Linked DNA regions of Arabidopsis thaliana. The protein of the gene in region 3 interacts with the protein of the main gene of each other region in a pairwise test. Each region holds a gene or a part of one and is shown on either strand. Other genes may lie near its edges.

Region 1 (3,610 bases), on a different chromosome or scaffold from region 3:
AGCTGTTTCACCAAAACAAAAAGTTATGTTATGTCATTTTCAAATTTTTCTTTGAATTCCTAAAATACTTGTAAAGGTTGTAGGTTAGGTTATTTGAAATTCAAAATGTAAGTGGATTAGTATGTTAAAATCAAAAAAAAATGAAGAGAAGACATGCGAATAGCCAAAAAAATAGGCAAGAACTAAAAAGCACATACAAAAAGTGACGACACCAAACCAAACATCATTTAGGTATGGTTTTAACGTCTGCATCAAAGTTGCTCTGCGTATTATCTGCTTGAAATGACTCATTCAATAGTATAATCTAATTAATAGGAACACTTCAAATAGGTGAAATTTGACATCGAATTATATATTGTCTCCACATTTTTAAGTTACATGGCTTGGAATTATTACATATTTTCAGAAACTATTTGTGACGCAAAAAAATGTGATTTCATGATTTCATCGCTTGAATTTGGTAATTTCATTAAAATTTACATTTCACTGAATTTAATTGACATACGTAAATTAAAAAATGAAAACATTAATTCTACATAGAAATTTGAAACCAAAAAAAACTCTTAAAACATATGACGTATATCATATAACAAGATTAATCACAAATAAAATGTAGTATTAAATTAATTAGTTTGCTAGATTATGAAATTATAACATTTATAAAAATTACCGTTTTTTAGCATCTGCAAGTACAACATGCCCTAATTGTTGTTTTTATAAATTTCTTTGAGCACAATCTTTTGGCTTTGCCATCAAATAATTATGCTAGTTTCTTACTTGATGTTACATAACAAATGTGAACAAAAAAAAAACACAATTGACGATCTAAATATATAAAAAGATTCCTAAAGAATTCTCGATTGACTCTCTAATGAGTTCTAACATCAGAAACCCGACAATTCCGACACGACTCATTACGAAACAACCCAATCCGACAACACAAACACACCGCATCACTCTCATGAGCTCCAAACAACTCGGAACCCCACCGTCGAGTCGACTCAGCCGAGTCAACAACACTCACTTTCCGAGTCGACTCGTACCGATAACTCGGTCCAACAGAGAGTTCCAAATTCAACACCCAATCTTCCTCGTTCCCATAATCCTTCTCCGACGTCGTTCCACTACTCTCACAATTATTAACCATACCAATCTCTTCACGCACCGGTTCCGGTTTAACCGGTCCAGAGAAATCAAGATGTATAGTCTCAACGACATCGTTTTGAAGAGACGACGGAGACACGACGGATTCGTTGATCAGACGGTGAGAGTTTGGATCAATCCCACGGCTGAGAAGCTTCCTCTTGATATGAGTGTTCCAATAGTTCTTGATCTCGTTATCTGTTCTTCCTGGTAATCTCCCAGCTATTAAAGACCATCTATAACAACAACACAAAGTTTCAGAATCTTTCACAAATATAATCATATTCTTAAAAAAGTGTGAGAGAAAGAGACTAACTTGTTACCGAGCAAGCTATGGAGCTTGATGATGAGTTCATCTTCTTCTTCAGTAAAATTGCCTCTTTTGAGATCTGGTCTTAGATAATTCATCCATCTCAATCTACAACTCTTACCACATCTTTGTAATCCTGCACAAAGTTCAATCAAAAATCAAATCTTTACCTCTCTGTAAATATAAAGAAACAGAGGATGTATGAATAAGTACCAGCGGCGCGAGGGAGAGATCGCCAGCAACCTTCACCGTGTTTACGGATGTAATCAACAAGAAGCTGATCTTCTTCTTTAGTCCAAGCTCCTTTGTTCATGTGAGCTTTCTCGCAGCATGGTGATCTTCCCATCTTTGTTGATCTCTATATGTATATATGTATCTCTCTACGTGTATTTGGAGGAAATAGTGTTTTATTTTTTTTGCAAGGAAGAGAGTTCCTGTAGGATGGTGTTTTCGTTTTGAATGTTATTTATAATAACTACCTAACATTATTTTAATACCAAAGTTAAAAATAAAAATGTATCTAACAAATGAAATGATGTGTTCGTTTTTTTGTGCCTAAAGAATATTGTAACACCAACCAGAAAACACAAATTTGATTGTAGTACACTCACAGGAGGAACGTGGGTGGAGTTTCCTAACTTTTTTTGTTTTTTGTTTTCTGAGATGTAGATCGTACGGTTTTGGTTATTGACTTTTTGGCTCTTTAGAATCATCTCATCTGCTCAAAAAAAATATCATAATCATTTTACAAATTCCACAATTCATTGCAACATGTACTGTTTTTAACCATTCTTATTGCATATAAAAAAATATAGTCACGCGTAACTTTCGTATAAAAAGATCGATTATAAAAGAGAAAATAACTAAATAACGGTTTAAGTAATCACTAATCAGTTAGTGAATAAAGTGTTTTTAACATCATCAAATTTACTTCTTAGTTTCTGTAACGATTTTGTAAACTCGTTTTAATATCAATAAATTTGTTTAGCGGAAAATTAAACCAATTTTTTTTGCATTATTGAATTAAACAATTGTTTACTGCATTATTAACAAAAAAAAGTACTTAAACCTAATTTTGGGAAAATGTTAAAAAGAACAAAAAAAAAGTAGATCTGGGAGAAAGTAGGTAGATAGATTGGGAAGATGAGTAGGTAGCTGTCTTTTTTCATCTCTCTCTTCTCCAATCACTCTCTCCACACGCTACTTCCTTCACGTACCTCCACGTGTCCTTTCTTATGATTTTATCACATTCCTCTCTCCTTTGTCTCTTCAATTATAAAAACATGAATATTATTTAGATTAGTTGGATAACTGAATTATTGGGTTTGGGCATGTGTACTTGGTCCTTCTTCTACTGTTGTGTCTCTTAAGTTTTTTTTTATATTTTATTTTCGGATTTCACATTGTAACGACGGTCCAATTAAAGAATACATTTTTAAAATGAATTTACTAGTAACTTGTAAGGTACTTAAATGGTATCAATCAACATTGGGATGATTTTTCTTGGAAATTGGAATAACGTCGCTATAACAGGCGATTAGATAAATTAGTCGCATAGAATCGTATAAATGTTAAATGTTTTTGTCTCACACGCCCCATACGTATTTTAGTCCTTTGCACTTTTGCAGAAGTTATCAGAATTCTTTTCAATATTTAAAGAGGAGTTGAATTTTACAACAGTGATGTAATTCTATCTAAAGCTTAATTTCATAAGTTTATTATAGTTCTGTTTTTCTTTCTCAATCGTAAACATTTTTTCTTATATAGAAAACCCCGTACAATCTAACTACTATTCAACGTAATTTAACTACTGTTCAATCTTCAATGTTTTGTCATAAGCTAGTAATCTATGCTTAATTAAGAAAGAAACATAAGAAGAGTCATGAGCGGATGGGCCTTTTGTTCATAGCATTGTATTGGTCATGGGCCATTACTTGCAAAGCCCAACATGGCTAACCGCAAACAAGCTTCTAATTTCATCACGCTACGCCAAATGCCAAACATTGTTGTACAACACTTCTACCTTCTGAGTCTTCCTGACTATTGGCTAACATGAACTACGACGTTCAAAGAAAGGTTCTTCGGAGGTACACTGATCGATATGGAATTGGAATCGAAGGTTCCCTATGCACAAAAGAACATGGCGAAAACACGATT
Region 2 (5,144 bases), on a different chromosome or scaffold from region 3:
CAACCTACTCTTTAGGCTTAAACACGTTTTAGACATATAAAAGTAAGAAATCAATCACGCATTCTTTTCGTTTGTCTAATTTTATGTTATCATAACCAGTAGGTTTACTTTTCTAAAATCGATTTAGATAAATAAATACCCACCGAATCGGTCTTCCCTATGACTCGATACTAATTGTCTTGACGTACCAAAACTAATTGTCCAAGAATAAACAAAAAGTGGCCATGTGTATCTACTAGTTGATCTAAATTGACCAAAGTTAAAAATGTTTTAGATATTTTAGTTAAAGTACAAAGGAGCCATATTTGGAGACCACAAGTTGCTAGAAAGTGATGGGATCGTGTAGGGTCAATGATCCCTAAACACCACCGAGATAAAACCTTTTCTTCTTCTTTTTCAGACTCTCCATCTTAATCCACGTTGGTCGTTGGCGACTTATTAGCAGCCGTTCACATCACATTTGTTCCCTTCTCACAAATCCAACCTAAATTCTCCAGGTTTTTGTATATAGTGAAAATATAAAATTAGACAAACGAAAATTATCATTTTTAATGAAATAGTAGGCGAAAAGTCTAATTTGCCTTTTCTTGGTAAGTTAAGTGAGAAAATAACCAAAAAAAGTGAGACAAAGACAAAAAGATTATGGGTTTCCCTTTCATATCAAGTAACCAAATAATAACAACAACAAACAATTTTGGCCAAACTTAATCAAAGAAACAACAAATCCTTGCATTACACACCTCCCCACATCTTTTTCCTTATTTCAATCTTCCTCCCTTCAACAAAAGATCTAACATAAATTCATCTATATTTTATACATTCTCACAATTTCATCCCCTCATCTTTTTTATTGCTCCCCCATGCCCCAAAATGTCCCTTAAAACGGAATCGATCCCTCACAATATTGGTTTGTCCATCAGCTCGTTTTCGGCTGCGATCCTTCCCGAGCCACGGCCGGTTATCCTACCGAATGATCCAATAGTTGATAGTCCCATGAAGCTGCTGCTTTCTTCGCCAAGGTTTATTGATCTTCTATGTTTTCTGAATTTGGAGGAGCTAACATCACCTGCCTCACGATCAACAACAACAACATCATCTAGGCTTTTGCTCTTTTCGTTGTTGTTGTTGTTGTTCTGGGCGACGACTAAACATGCAATGGTGCTTCTACAGAACGGACAGACCGGTGGAGTCACGGTTGAGGTCGTTGGGTTTGGTTTGTTGTGACAGCACAGTGCAAGTGTGCATTGTGCACACATTTGGTGACCACAGTCTTTAACTTCAATTGTACATACTTGCTCAAAGCAAATGCAGCACAGTTCCGTATCACTCACCTATAGACACATTTACATGTTACTACAATCACAAAAATTACCGAGCCACGGGGAAAGTAAAGAGTGTAGTATTATTACCTCGGACATGTTATCATCCGTGTCAGAGAAAGAGGGTGATGGTAAGGAATAAGCTGTTCCTTTGAGGATGGTTTTCTCTCTCTCCCTGTTAGCCTCCATTAAAGCCTGCTCTAAGAGAAGTTTCGCCTCGTCATTAAGCTCACTGATGAACTTTAATGGTGATGGCCAAACAAGTGGCTCTGCAGAGGACGGATTAAGTAAGGCTCCACATGCTCCATGCTTATGCTTCATCGCAACCACATAAGGTATTCTCCTGAAAAGATATTTCAAGATTCAAGTTATGTTCTGAAACCAAAACAAGACTTTTCCACAAAATTTATATATATACCCAGAAGCGTCTCGTTGAAGACGATCAGCACCCCAAGCAAGCAACTTTCTGACACAATCTATAGATCCACTTCTAGCTGCTAAATGAAGAGGTGTGCTTCCTGGAGAACTGTTTCAACAAAAGCTTAAAGAATCAGTTCCAATAGAACAAAACATCTAAGAACTGTTGATTTCAATGCATGACAAGAAAAACCATTACCCATATACACTAGTAGATGCACAAACAAGAGAACCACTATCCAACAAAACATTCACACATTCAGGTCGTCTCTGTCGAGCAGCTAAATGCAACGGAGTCGCTCCTTTATCATCTCTTATGTTCACAAATCTCGCATATCCCCTGAAAATGAAAACCCCTGAGTGTCAAAAGTTTCATTCTCAGGAATAAGTAAACTCTGATCAAAGATAGGAAGAGACTTACCAATGGACAGCAACAGGACTTGATTGAGCAGCAGAGAGAATAGCTTGAACACAATTAGCATGTCCATAATAAGCAGCGTAATGCAAACATGTTCTTCGATTCACAGAATCAAACATCAAAATCTGCAGATTCCAAAAGATTTTCAATTACCAAATCCAAAATCGATTCAATTGCAAAACAAAAAAGTAAACGTACATTAGCTCCAACTTCAGCTAGCTTCTTCACACAAGAGATTCTTCCATACATCGCAGCCAACATTAACGGAGTCTACAAGACGAATCAAAGCATCAGCAAAAGATTCATGAAAACTATACACAGAACAGATCAATGCGAAAATCAAAAACCTGCTTGTGACGATTCAACAAATCTGGATTCGTAAATCGTTCCAAAAGCAATGACAAAATCTGCAAAAAAAGTAGATACATCAGAAACAAAAATACCAGATTCCGACGAGATTCCGGCGAGATCTCGGAGAATATCACTGAAACTAACCTCGATCTGACCATTAGCAGCAGCGACATGAAGAACAGAGTGACGATCATAAGGAGTAGTTTGATTCAACAGACTAGGCTCCGTCGCCATCACACGACGGATAGTGATGATATCGCCGCACTGTACAGAGGCGAATATTCCGTGCTCCGGTCGACTTCCACAGCTCATACTCTGCCCCATCTCTCGAAGATTTTGGTTAGAGCTCTGTGTAAAGAGATGGTGATTGATGGAGGTTTTAGGAGAGGAACAACGACACCGTCTGCCACCGGTGAGGCGCTCCGATGAGAGAATAAAGCGCCACCGTGACGGAGAACGGTGGTTGTGTGAGAGCTTTTAACAATGGAGAAGAAGAAGAGGGAAGAAGATTCACATTTATGTACACATTGATAGAGTCATTTGTTGAGAAGATATTAATTTTTAAATTTTTTTTTTGTTTTTTTTATAAAGTTGATTAAAAAAAAAAGAGAGAGACGGAGATAAAGAGAGACGACTCTCTATTGGAGGATTTGCCCGACGGGCAGTTTTTTTTTTTTTTTTTTTTTTTTTTGCCCGTTGTCAGTTTTGTTACAGTTACTTGTGATTTCGGGCAGTCTTGTCAGATATTTTCTATTTTTATTTTGAGGCCATTTTTTTTTTCTTGTAGCTTTTTTCTTTGAGATTAATTATATTTTCTTTGATTTGCCAAAAATAGGATGGTTTTGTCCACAAGAAACTGATTTTAATGAACAAAATTTACAAATTTACTGTTTGAGTGATCACCACATCTTAACTAAGATTCATCATAGATATGTTGGATCAAATTAGTAAAATAACCGGACTTCCAAAAAAATTATTATGATATGAATTCGTGTGATTTGATCTGTATAATGAGATCCTAAAACTGTGTTTTTGAACAATTTTTCAATTTTTTCGGTAAAAATTTGGAGTCGATAAGGCTTTTAATATACATGTAGGGGGTGATATCAATGTTACAAACATTATGTAAATCATGTTTTCTGATCCAATACAACACATTAGTTTAATAAAAAAAGTTTGATTATTTCACCATTGTCAAAATTAGTCATAGTAAGTCTTCTAGATCCTATACTAAATTATCGATGATTGTAGGATAGGCGATTCGATTATTGGAAAGGGAACAATGTTAGGTGTTTTGCTAGATGGTGTGAAGAAAAATTTTAACACTTAAGTCACAAATAAACAAGAAAAGAAATGGTAGTTTATGTACAAGCTAGTTCAAAGGAAATTTAAAGTTTAATATGCTATTTGTAGATTCTAGTACACAATTTTTAGAATTGTACTAGAACTTCGGGAAAGCTAATTCGATCAAAGAAGTTTTTAGAAAAACAAATTTAAATAGTAGGCAGTTTCGACAGAAGCTAAAGCAATTTAGTTTGGTTTGAAATAATATAAATTTATAAAATGACATGATATTCTTAAAATATTGTACATATTAAATTACCTAACTTAATGACTATATCTTCATTTTCTCTAATAACACATAGTTATTTTGATACAGTATATATATCATAAATTTTATTATTTAAACATAAATGGTTCCAAAATGATTATGCACTCTTCCTTGGATATTTAACAAAAAGAAACACACTCATATGTATACTATTCATGGAGTATTATATAGATACAATATCTGCATATTATAACTAAAAAGCATATAAATAATTTGTGGTCAATATTATACTAAAAGCCAACAAGCAGCCCACTTGAAATTTTCTCATCGGAGTCCAAGTGGCCGTTTGATGACCTTCGCTTCCCGATGTGGACTTCGACATCAAATCTCGAATGCTTTGTTTCACTTTTTTTCTTCTTTAAATTCAATATTAAGAGCTATTTTATTAGATTCCTTATTTCAGATTATATATATGTCTATTGTTGATATAAGCTGGTAAAATGTTTTGGGTTAAAAAAAAATATATCATTGCAATATATCATGCAAATCTGTCAGCCATTTATGTACGACTAAGATCTGTCATAAAATCTCGTGACTATGATTTTATATGATGAGGTTGCATATATATTTCTCTTGTACTGGATGTATCGTCCTCGTACATAGTTTATTTAGGTAGTGGTACCTATCTAAAACTTTGATTAGTCCTAACGATTTTCTCCTAATCGTTGAGAACTTGTCCGTCTGTGTCCAACTTGCAAATAGGGTCTTCCTTTGAAAGAAGAGCCTTAACGACAGTTAGATTGGAATATGGATGATCTCAAAACATAGAATTCAGAGATTGTAAAGCAAATTATTTGGGTTTATATATAAAAAAAAAGAATTACGATTGACGAATCACCAATCATTACTTGGCATAGAGTTATAGACAAAAGCATCTAACCAAACCTACGTACGTGTCTCTAATATTGTTCTACTACTATACTGTATTAATTACAATACGACATTTCAATCGAAAATATAGTAACGTGTATTTGGAATATTGGCCCAAAATTTGTTGACCAGAATGGCGTTTTTCTTCTTTTTTTTT
Region 3 (7,688 bases):
GCGGAAGTTGAACTTCTCGAAGATTTCCTTAAACTCATCGTTAAAACCATCTTCAAATTCAGCTTGCTCTGGAACATACTCTATCACAATCTGCTCACAAACCTATCAAAGAGAAACATATACCAAAAATCATCAGCAAACGATAAACAATCACAAACCCTAAGAAAAACCCTAGAACACCTCTCCATGAATCGAGTACGAGAAGATGAGCACAAAGTTAACCTGTGGCTGGGGATCTGTATTCTCTTTGGATTCAGAAGCAGCAGAAACGTCCGATGCATCTACATCGGCTTGGGATGCTTTGTTGTTCTTCTTCTGCTTCCGTCTGCGGCGGCGACGGTCAATCTCACGAGATTTCTTAGAGGAAGCGGAGGTGTTTCCGTTGGAGACATCACCGTTAGAAACGACGCTATGAACGAGTGCGACGGTTGAATCGGCGGTCATATTCGGTGTTCTCTCTGAATCGGTGATGTGAAAAGAGAGATTGAGAGGAGAAGGAAGAACGACGGAAATCGAGGATATACGTATATGAACAAGAGTCGGTTTGCTGAAATTCTCTCTGATTCTATTTCCGGTTTGGCATAAGGCCCATATAAGTAGAAGACGAATATATCTGCCAATAGGCCCAACACTTTATATTTTTCTTCGAGTGTAAGAATTGTTTTGTAGAAGACCATCTACTAGTAACTAATAGAAAATTTCAAAGGAAATGTATGGAACAATATTCAAACACTACTATAAATGTTGGCACGAGTTAACTCTACATTATTCGTAAAAATGTTCTATTGAACTTTTAAAATTATAAAATTACAGTTTACACAATGTCTTGAAATTTTGAAGAAAGTTATAAGTATCAAAATTGTATATATGTGGGTATTTGAGATTTAAATAAAATTCTCTGACTAACAACAAAACTTTTAATAAAATTTAAATGTTTTAGTTTATTATTCGTAAAAATTTAGTTTTTACATGAATTGAGGTAATTTTTATTCACTTTGAGATTTTATTAATGTGAGCACGACTCCCGGTGTATGTTATCGGTTGTTTATTATGCAATTAGAACAATATACATTGTGCCTTTTTAGTTTCAAAATTGTTTTCATAAGACATTAGGAAAGAACACGGAAAAAAAAGACATTAGGAAAGAATTTTGTAACGGCTTTTGTACGTAACGGTTATTTTTAAACAAGGAAAAAAATACTGTCTATAAAAAAAAATTATCTTTACGTAGTTGTGTATTTTAGAAAACAAAATAAATCATTTTTTATTTACTAAACTATTATTTTATAAGGAAAAGATTGAAAAGAGTAGGGGAAAGATATATGTGAAAAAATATTCATGCTTGGTAGATAAAAAATATTTCACAAATAAAGAGACAAGTATATGTCAAAAATATCATGTCTTTTGAATAAATAATCTTCTAAAAAAAAAGAATTAGATGAACTATAAATATCTTGTGGTATATGAATCCTTGACACTGTAAAAATCAAAACATGAGATCAGAAACACAAGTATAAAAGTACATTACAAGTACGGTATGAATCGAAAAAAAAACAGAATTTGACAGGTTTTGAGCTGATAAAAACTATTTCAGGCTTTTATTAATTTTTAAAAATAGTATTAATTGTTTTTAAAATAAGACATAAATAAAAAAAAGAACGGTTAAAGAAAATGAAGGGGCCCTTCGTGTTTTGTTTTCCCTTAAAAAAACCAAGGACAAAGGCATAATGCCGTATTCACAATCTTGACTCTTCGTTATCTGGATCTAGGGTTTCTCTCGATTTTTAGAACGCCACAAAACCTAATAAACTTTTCCCAGATACACAAACAAACTCATCATCAACCAAGGAAGAAGAAAGAAACTAGGGTTTTTTTTTGTGGATTCATCATCGGTATTTTACAGATCTATATTCAAAGGGAACAAAATCTTAAGGAACAAACACTAAATTTTCATTCTTTCTCTTATTTACCCATTTATCAAAAATCTTCCTTTTGTTTTCCTGATTCTTGCTAAAGAAAAAAACTCGGATCCAATTCATAAACTAGTGTGGACTGGTGATCAATCTATCAATTCTGGCCAAGGGACAACAAAAAGTTTAGATTTTGATGAACCAATTTTGAGATGAGACAATAGACATCCATTGATCTGTAAACTTTAAGAAGGAGAAGGAGAAAAGAAAGTATGTATAGTAATAATAGAGTAGAAGTGTTTCATGGTGATGGAAGACTTGGAGAATTGGAGATATACCCTTCAAGGGAATTGAATCAGCAACAAGATGATGTGATGAAGCAGAGGAAGAAGAAACAGAGGGAAGTAATGGAGCTAGCCAAGATGGGAATCAGAATAAGCCACTTTTCTCAATCTGGCGAGAGGTGTCCTCCTCTTGCAATACTTACTACAATTTCATCTTGTGGCCTTTGTTTCAAATTAGAAGCTTCACCTTCTCCAGCTCAGGAGTCACTCAGTTTATTCTACTCGTCCTGTCTCAGGGACAACAAGGTATCTAAACCTTACGAACCTTTAAGCCTTACTCAGACTTAGATTTTATCAACTAAAACTCAAAAACACTTAATGATAAATAGGATTTTGTGTCATTATTTAACTTCCTTAATGTCAGAGCTGCATCAAGTTTGGGGCTTTAGAAACTTTTAGTAGAGTGGGGGTTTGAATCTTGTGTTGTTTGTTATGTTACAAATTGTCCTCATATTTGTGAGTTTTGGATTTTTGCTTCTTGCAGACAGCAGTAATGCTCTTGGGTGGAGAAGAGCTCCATTTGGTTGCTATGTACTCGGAAAATATCAAGAATGACCGTCCTTGTTTCTGGGCATTTAGTGTTGCTCCTGGAATTTACGATTCCTGTCTTGTTATGTTGAATCTTAGATGTCTGGGTATTGTCTTTGATCTTGATGAAACCCTTGTAGTGGCGAATACCATGCGCTCATTTGAGGATAAGATTGACGGGTTTCAGCGGAGAATAAACAACGAGATGGACCCTCAACGCCTTGCCGTTATAGTGGCTGAGATGAAGCGTTATCAAGATGACAAAAATCTATTGAAGCAATATATTGAAAGTGACCAGGTTGTTGAAAACGGGGAGGTGATAAAGGTGCAATCTGAAATTGTTCCTGCCTTGTCTGACAACCATCAGCCTCTTGTTCGCCCTCTGATAAGGTTGCAAGAGAAGAATATTATTCTGACTCGCATTAACCCAATGGTATGCAAGTCTTGAATCAGTATATGTCTGTTAGTTTCTGTTCCCCGTATACATATATGTTTAGTGCTTACTACACATTTAAAAGACAATAAGTGGTGGTGTGCTGTGTGGTGGATTTCCTTGAATACTTGTGGTATAACCTTTTATTTTTCATTTGCTCCTTTCTGGAGCACCTAGATTTTTCTGAATTCTTGTGGCTGAATCTGCATTCCTATATTTACACACAGATTCGTGATACAAGTGTTCTTGTGAGAATGAGGCCCTCATGGGAGGAACTTCGAAGCTATTTGACAGCAAAAGGGCGTAAGCGTTTTGAAGTATATGTTTGCACGATGGCTGAAAGAGATTACGCCTTAGAGATGTGGAGGCTCCTTGATCCAGAAGGGAATTTGATAAACACAAATGACTTGCTTGCTCGCATCGTTTGTGTGAAATCTGGTATACTTTTTGGTATCTTATACCTGCTTATATTTCATCATGGTAAAACTTCTTACAAGCTTGTAATTAACCACCACAGGTTTTAAAAAGTCACTGTTCAATGTGTTTCTCGATGGAACCTGCCATCCAAAGATGGCATTGGTAATTGATGATCGATTGAAAGTTTGGGATGAGAAGGATCAGCCGAGGGTACATGTGGTTCCTGCATTCGCTCCCTATTATTCTCCTCAAGCTGAAGTAAGTATAATTTTTACCTAGTTGAAATTGGTTATGAAAAATGCAGAAGCATGTGAATTTGATAAGAATATTATTAATCAAAAGAATCACAAGTCATTTAGAATGGAACAAATGAAGCCTTATAAGACCTAACATAAGCTAGCTTTGTGGTGAGTTCTACGCAAGGGGTCTTTGTGGGCCTGGTTTGTTGCACAATTTCTACCAGAAGTGATAGTCTTGACTTTTCAGTAATAAATGGTGTCACATATAGCTCGTTTCCTTTTCTTGTAGGCTGCTGCAACACCAGTACTATGTGTTGCCAGGAACGTTGCCTGTGGTGTCAGAGGTGGATTTTTCAGGTAAGATGTCAGATTTGATAATAGTAGTTTGTTTTCTTGACATCTCTACTGATCAAGGGTGCTTCCTTAGTACATACTTACGGTGAAATGGTATTTGAACTTGGTTACAGGGATTTTGATGATAGTCTGCTACCAAGGATTGCTGAAATTTCTTATGAGAATGATGCTGAGGATATTCCTTCTCCGCCTGATGTCAGCCATTATTTGGTGTCGGAGGTTAGTCGTGATACTTGTTAGCGATTGGGAGTAGATAATTTTTTGGTTCTCTTCCAGGCAGTCTGGGAGCTTATTTTACTCACCTTTGAAACTGCTTCCCAGTAACTCATTCTTTTTTCAATATAGGATGATACATCGGGTTTAAATGGGAACAAAGATCCACTTTCCTTTGACGGGATGGCTGATACTGAAGTGGAGAGAAGACTGAAGGTGATTTACATTTTGAGGCTCTATTGTTACTGAGTTATTGTGGTGATCCATTAAAGATGCCAACTCCAGTAAACATGGCTTCTGGTTTAAATTTTCTGCCCAATGTTGAAATTCAAATACATTTTTCCGTTTTATTCAGGAGGCAATTTCTGCATCTTCAGCTGTCCTTCCGGCGGCAAATATAGATCCGAGGATAGCTGCTCCCGTTCAGTTCCCCATGGCTTCTGCTTCTTCTGTTTCAGTTCCAGTACCAGTACAAGTCGTGCAACAAGCAATACAACCTTCAGCTATGGCCTTTCCAAGTATTCCATTTCAACAACCTCAACAACCGACATCAATAGCTAAACACTTGGTTCCTTCAGAACCAAGCTTGCAGAGTTCTCCTGCTAGAGAGGAAGGTGAGGTACCTGAATCAGAATTAGATCCAGATACTAGGAGGAGACTCCTCATATTGCAGCATGGACAAGATACTAGGGATCCTGCTCCAAGTGAACCTTCATTTCCTCAGAGACCTCCAGTTCAAGCTCCACCCTCACATGTGCAATCAAGAAATGGCTGGTTTCCTGTTGAGGAGGAGATGGATCCTGCTCAAATTCGTCGAGCAGTCTCAAAAGAATATCCGTTGGATTCTGAAATGATTCATATGGAAAAGCACAGGCCTCGTCATCCATCATTTTTTTCTAAGATTGATAACTCAACTCAGTCTGACAGGATGCTTCATGAGAATCGCAGGCCGCCAAAGGAGGTACCACTAATCTTATTTAACCTATGATTTTACAGTTGTCAGTTTTTTTGGTCTTTATACTGCTGTACGACGTTTAGTGCTCACTGTGATATATTTGCAGTCTCTCCGGAGAGATGAACAGTTACGTTCAAATAACAATCTACCTGACTCTCATCCTTTCTATGGTAAGCCATCAAAGTTATTTGTTCTTGTATCATTTTGTTCTGAAGATAAATCACTGACTTGGGTATTGGGATGGACTCTCTAGGGGAGGATGCGTCTTGGAATCAATCTTCCTCTAGGAACAGTGATCTTGACTTCCTACCTGAACGAAGTGTCTCAGCAACGGAGACTTCAGCTGATGTTCTACACGGAATTGCTATCAAATGTGGAGCTAAGGTATGTAAATATCATCATGATTACCATTAATTCCATACGTGAGTTGATGTGTTATTATTCCATGACATTGTAGGTGGAGTACAAACCAAGTTTAGTTTCTAGTACAGATTTGCGGTTCTCTGTTGAGGTACGTATTGCTCTTAGACGTATCTGTTTGTATGGTGTCAGTAATTTTGGTGGAACCTTATGCTCTTTGAGATCCTATATTTCCTTTGAGTGAGGTTACTTTGTTGATTGTGTCAACTGTACATTAAATCTATGTTTTTTTTGCAGGCTTGGCTTTCTAATCAAAAAATTGGAGAAGGGATTGGCAAATCGAGAAGAGAAGCCCTGCATAAGGCTGCTGAAGCTTCTATACAGAATTTAGCTGGTAAGACTTTCTGACTCATGATTTACTCGTGTCTTAATCTTTGTCTGCAGAGATACTATTTGAGATAGATTGTTTGAATCTGCTATATTGGGTGAATGTTATTTGTTTGATGTTTCTAAACCATCTTCACAATATTGGGTGTAGATCTCAATTTTTCAACCAATCTGTTTAGTCTGTAATATTAATAGATCTATTGTAGCTTCGTGTTGGTCCTCATAAATGGGTTTATATCAATGAGTATGAGTACTGCCACCACAAACGGTTGCGTGTCAGTATGTTATGATATCAAAACTGTGGGTCCCTTCCCTTTACAAGGGTGAGAGCTATCTTGGATTTGTGGCAGTTGGCTCAGGTTTAATATTGGTCGGCTTCATTCACATTGTTCTTATAATGAGGCTTTAAACTCATTGTTGTTCGTTTGTTTCCAGTTTCTTGAGTTCTTACTCCTTTTTTTGCAGATGGATATATGCGTGCAAATGGTGACCCAGGGCCCAGCCACAGAGATGCTACCCCCTTCACCAATGAAAATATAAGTATGGGAAACGCAAATGCGCTTAATAATCAGCCATTTGCTAGAGATGAAACAGCGTTGCCAGTTTCTTCTAGACCTACAGATCCGAGATTAGAAGGTTCTATGAGGCACACTGGCTCCATTACTGCACTCAGGGAATTGGTATGTATCTCCTTAGTGCGGATACTGTTGATTGATATGGTTGCTTGCTTACATTCACATATTGTTTTTTCTCATCTTTGATTCATCTGTAACCAAATTCCAGTGTGCATCGGAGGGTCTTGAGATGGCTTTTCAATCTCAGCGTCAGCTTCCATCTGACATGGTCCACAGAGATGAATTACATGCTCAGGTTCGCACCCCTAAAAGATTAGAACACAGAAGTGTTAAATTTTTTAAAAAAAAAATCTAAGATAGACAATTTTCAGTTAAAAGAGAAAGATTCATGATTTTCTCTTCAGGGCCATCAGTATATTTCATATCTATTCAATTGGTTTGAAGTATCTAGAGTGTAGACCCCTCTTGATACTCTTTGTAATATATTTCAGGTTGAAATAGATGGGCGTGTTGTAGGGGAAGGAGTTGGATCGACATGGGACGAAGCTAGAATGCAGGTAACTCAACTAAATTCTTGCCTCGGGTTTATTCTGATCCCATCTTTTCCCTTCTCTGACGTTCTTACCTTTAGGCTGCTGAGAGAGCACTGTCCAGTGTGAGATCAATGCTTGGTCAACCTCTGCATAAACGACAAGGATCTCCACGGTTTGTTCTTGACTATATCTATATGATTATCAAAATAAAAATGTCAGTTGATATATTTTAAAAACCGGTTTCTTGTTGATGTTTAGATCATTTGGTGGGATGTCAAACAAGCGATTAAAGCCGGACTTTCAACGGTCTCTGCAACGGATGCCATCTTCGGGAAGATACTCTTAAAAATAAAACCATGTGAAGAACGAACCACATTCTACATTAATTCCATTCTCTTGGTAAAAACAGCTACCAAGACGAATTCTTTGTCAAGTTCCTT

The links.
Region 1: the proteins of CPL1 (region 3) and MYB3 interact in a two-hybrid assay, tested with the Arabidopsis thaliana proteins (one study listed by BioGRID).
Region 2: the proteins of CPL1 (region 3) and XBAT31 interact in a two-hybrid assay, tested with the Arabidopsis thaliana proteins (one study listed by BioGRID).

The regions. Positions count from the first base shown.
Region 1 is NC_003070.9:8,004,478-8,008,087, reverse strand, and holds MYB3 (myb domain protein 3), read right to left. Parts: upstream 2,025-3,610; 5' UTR 1,800-2,024; coding exon 1,667-1,799; intron 1,666-1,666; exon of another isoform or gene 1,590-1,665; coding exon 1,460-1,589; exon of another isoform or gene 1,427-1,459; coding exon of another isoform or gene 1,380-1,426; coding exon 869-1,379; 3' UTR 628-868; downstream 1-627.
Region 2 is NC_003071.7:12,376,227-12,381,370, reverse strand, and holds XBAT31 (uncharacterized protein), read right to left. Parts: upstream 3,100-5,144; 5' UTR 2,830-3,099; coding exon 2,650-2,829; coding exon of another isoform or gene 2,562-2,649; coding exon 2,502-2,561; intron 2,425-2,501; coding exon 2,353-2,424; intron 2,280-2,352; coding exon 2,158-2,279; intron 2,077-2,157; coding exon 1,936-2,076; intron 1,846-1,935; coding exon 1,738-1,845; intron 1,663-1,737; coding exon 1,410-1,662; intron 1,332-1,409; coding exon 897-1,331; 3' UTR 562-896; downstream 1-561. UniProt on the Arabidopsis thaliana protein: No E3 ubiquitin-protein ligase activity observed when associated with the E2 enzyme UBC8 in vitro.
Region 3 is NC_003075.7:11,509,329-11,517,016, forward strand, and holds the start of CPL1 (C-terminal domain phosphatase-like 1), read left to right. Parts: upstream 1-1,660; 5' UTR 1,661-2,182; coding exon 2,183-2,500; intron 2,501-2,738; coding exon 2,739-3,215; intron 3,216-3,442; coding exon 3,443-3,653; intron 3,654-3,732; coding exon 3,733-3,890; intron 3,891-4,160; coding exon 4,161-4,228; intron 4,229-4,338; coding exon 4,339-4,444; intron 4,445-4,570; coding exon 4,571-4,654; intron 4,655-4,793; coding exon 4,794-5,399; intron 5,400-5,499; coding exon 5,500-5,563; intron 5,564-5,646; coding exon 5,647-5,777; intron 5,778-5,850; coding exon 5,851-5,904; intron 5,905-6,050; coding exon 6,051-6,147; intron 6,148-6,605; coding exon 6,606-6,820; intron 6,821-6,923; coding exon 6,924-7,010; intron 7,011-7,206; coding exon 7,207-7,272; intron 7,273-7,346; coding exon 7,347-7,420; intron 7,421-7,506; coding exon 7,507-7,594; 3' UTR 7,595-7,688. Other genes in the region: AT4G21660 (proline-rich spliceosome-associated (PSP) family protein), read right to left, coding at 1-102, 223-444. UniProt on the Arabidopsis thaliana protein: Processively dephosphorylates 'Ser-5' but not 'Ser-2' of the heptad repeats YSPTSPS in the C-terminal domain of the largest RNA polymerase II subunit (RPB1). This promotes the activity of RNA polymerase II.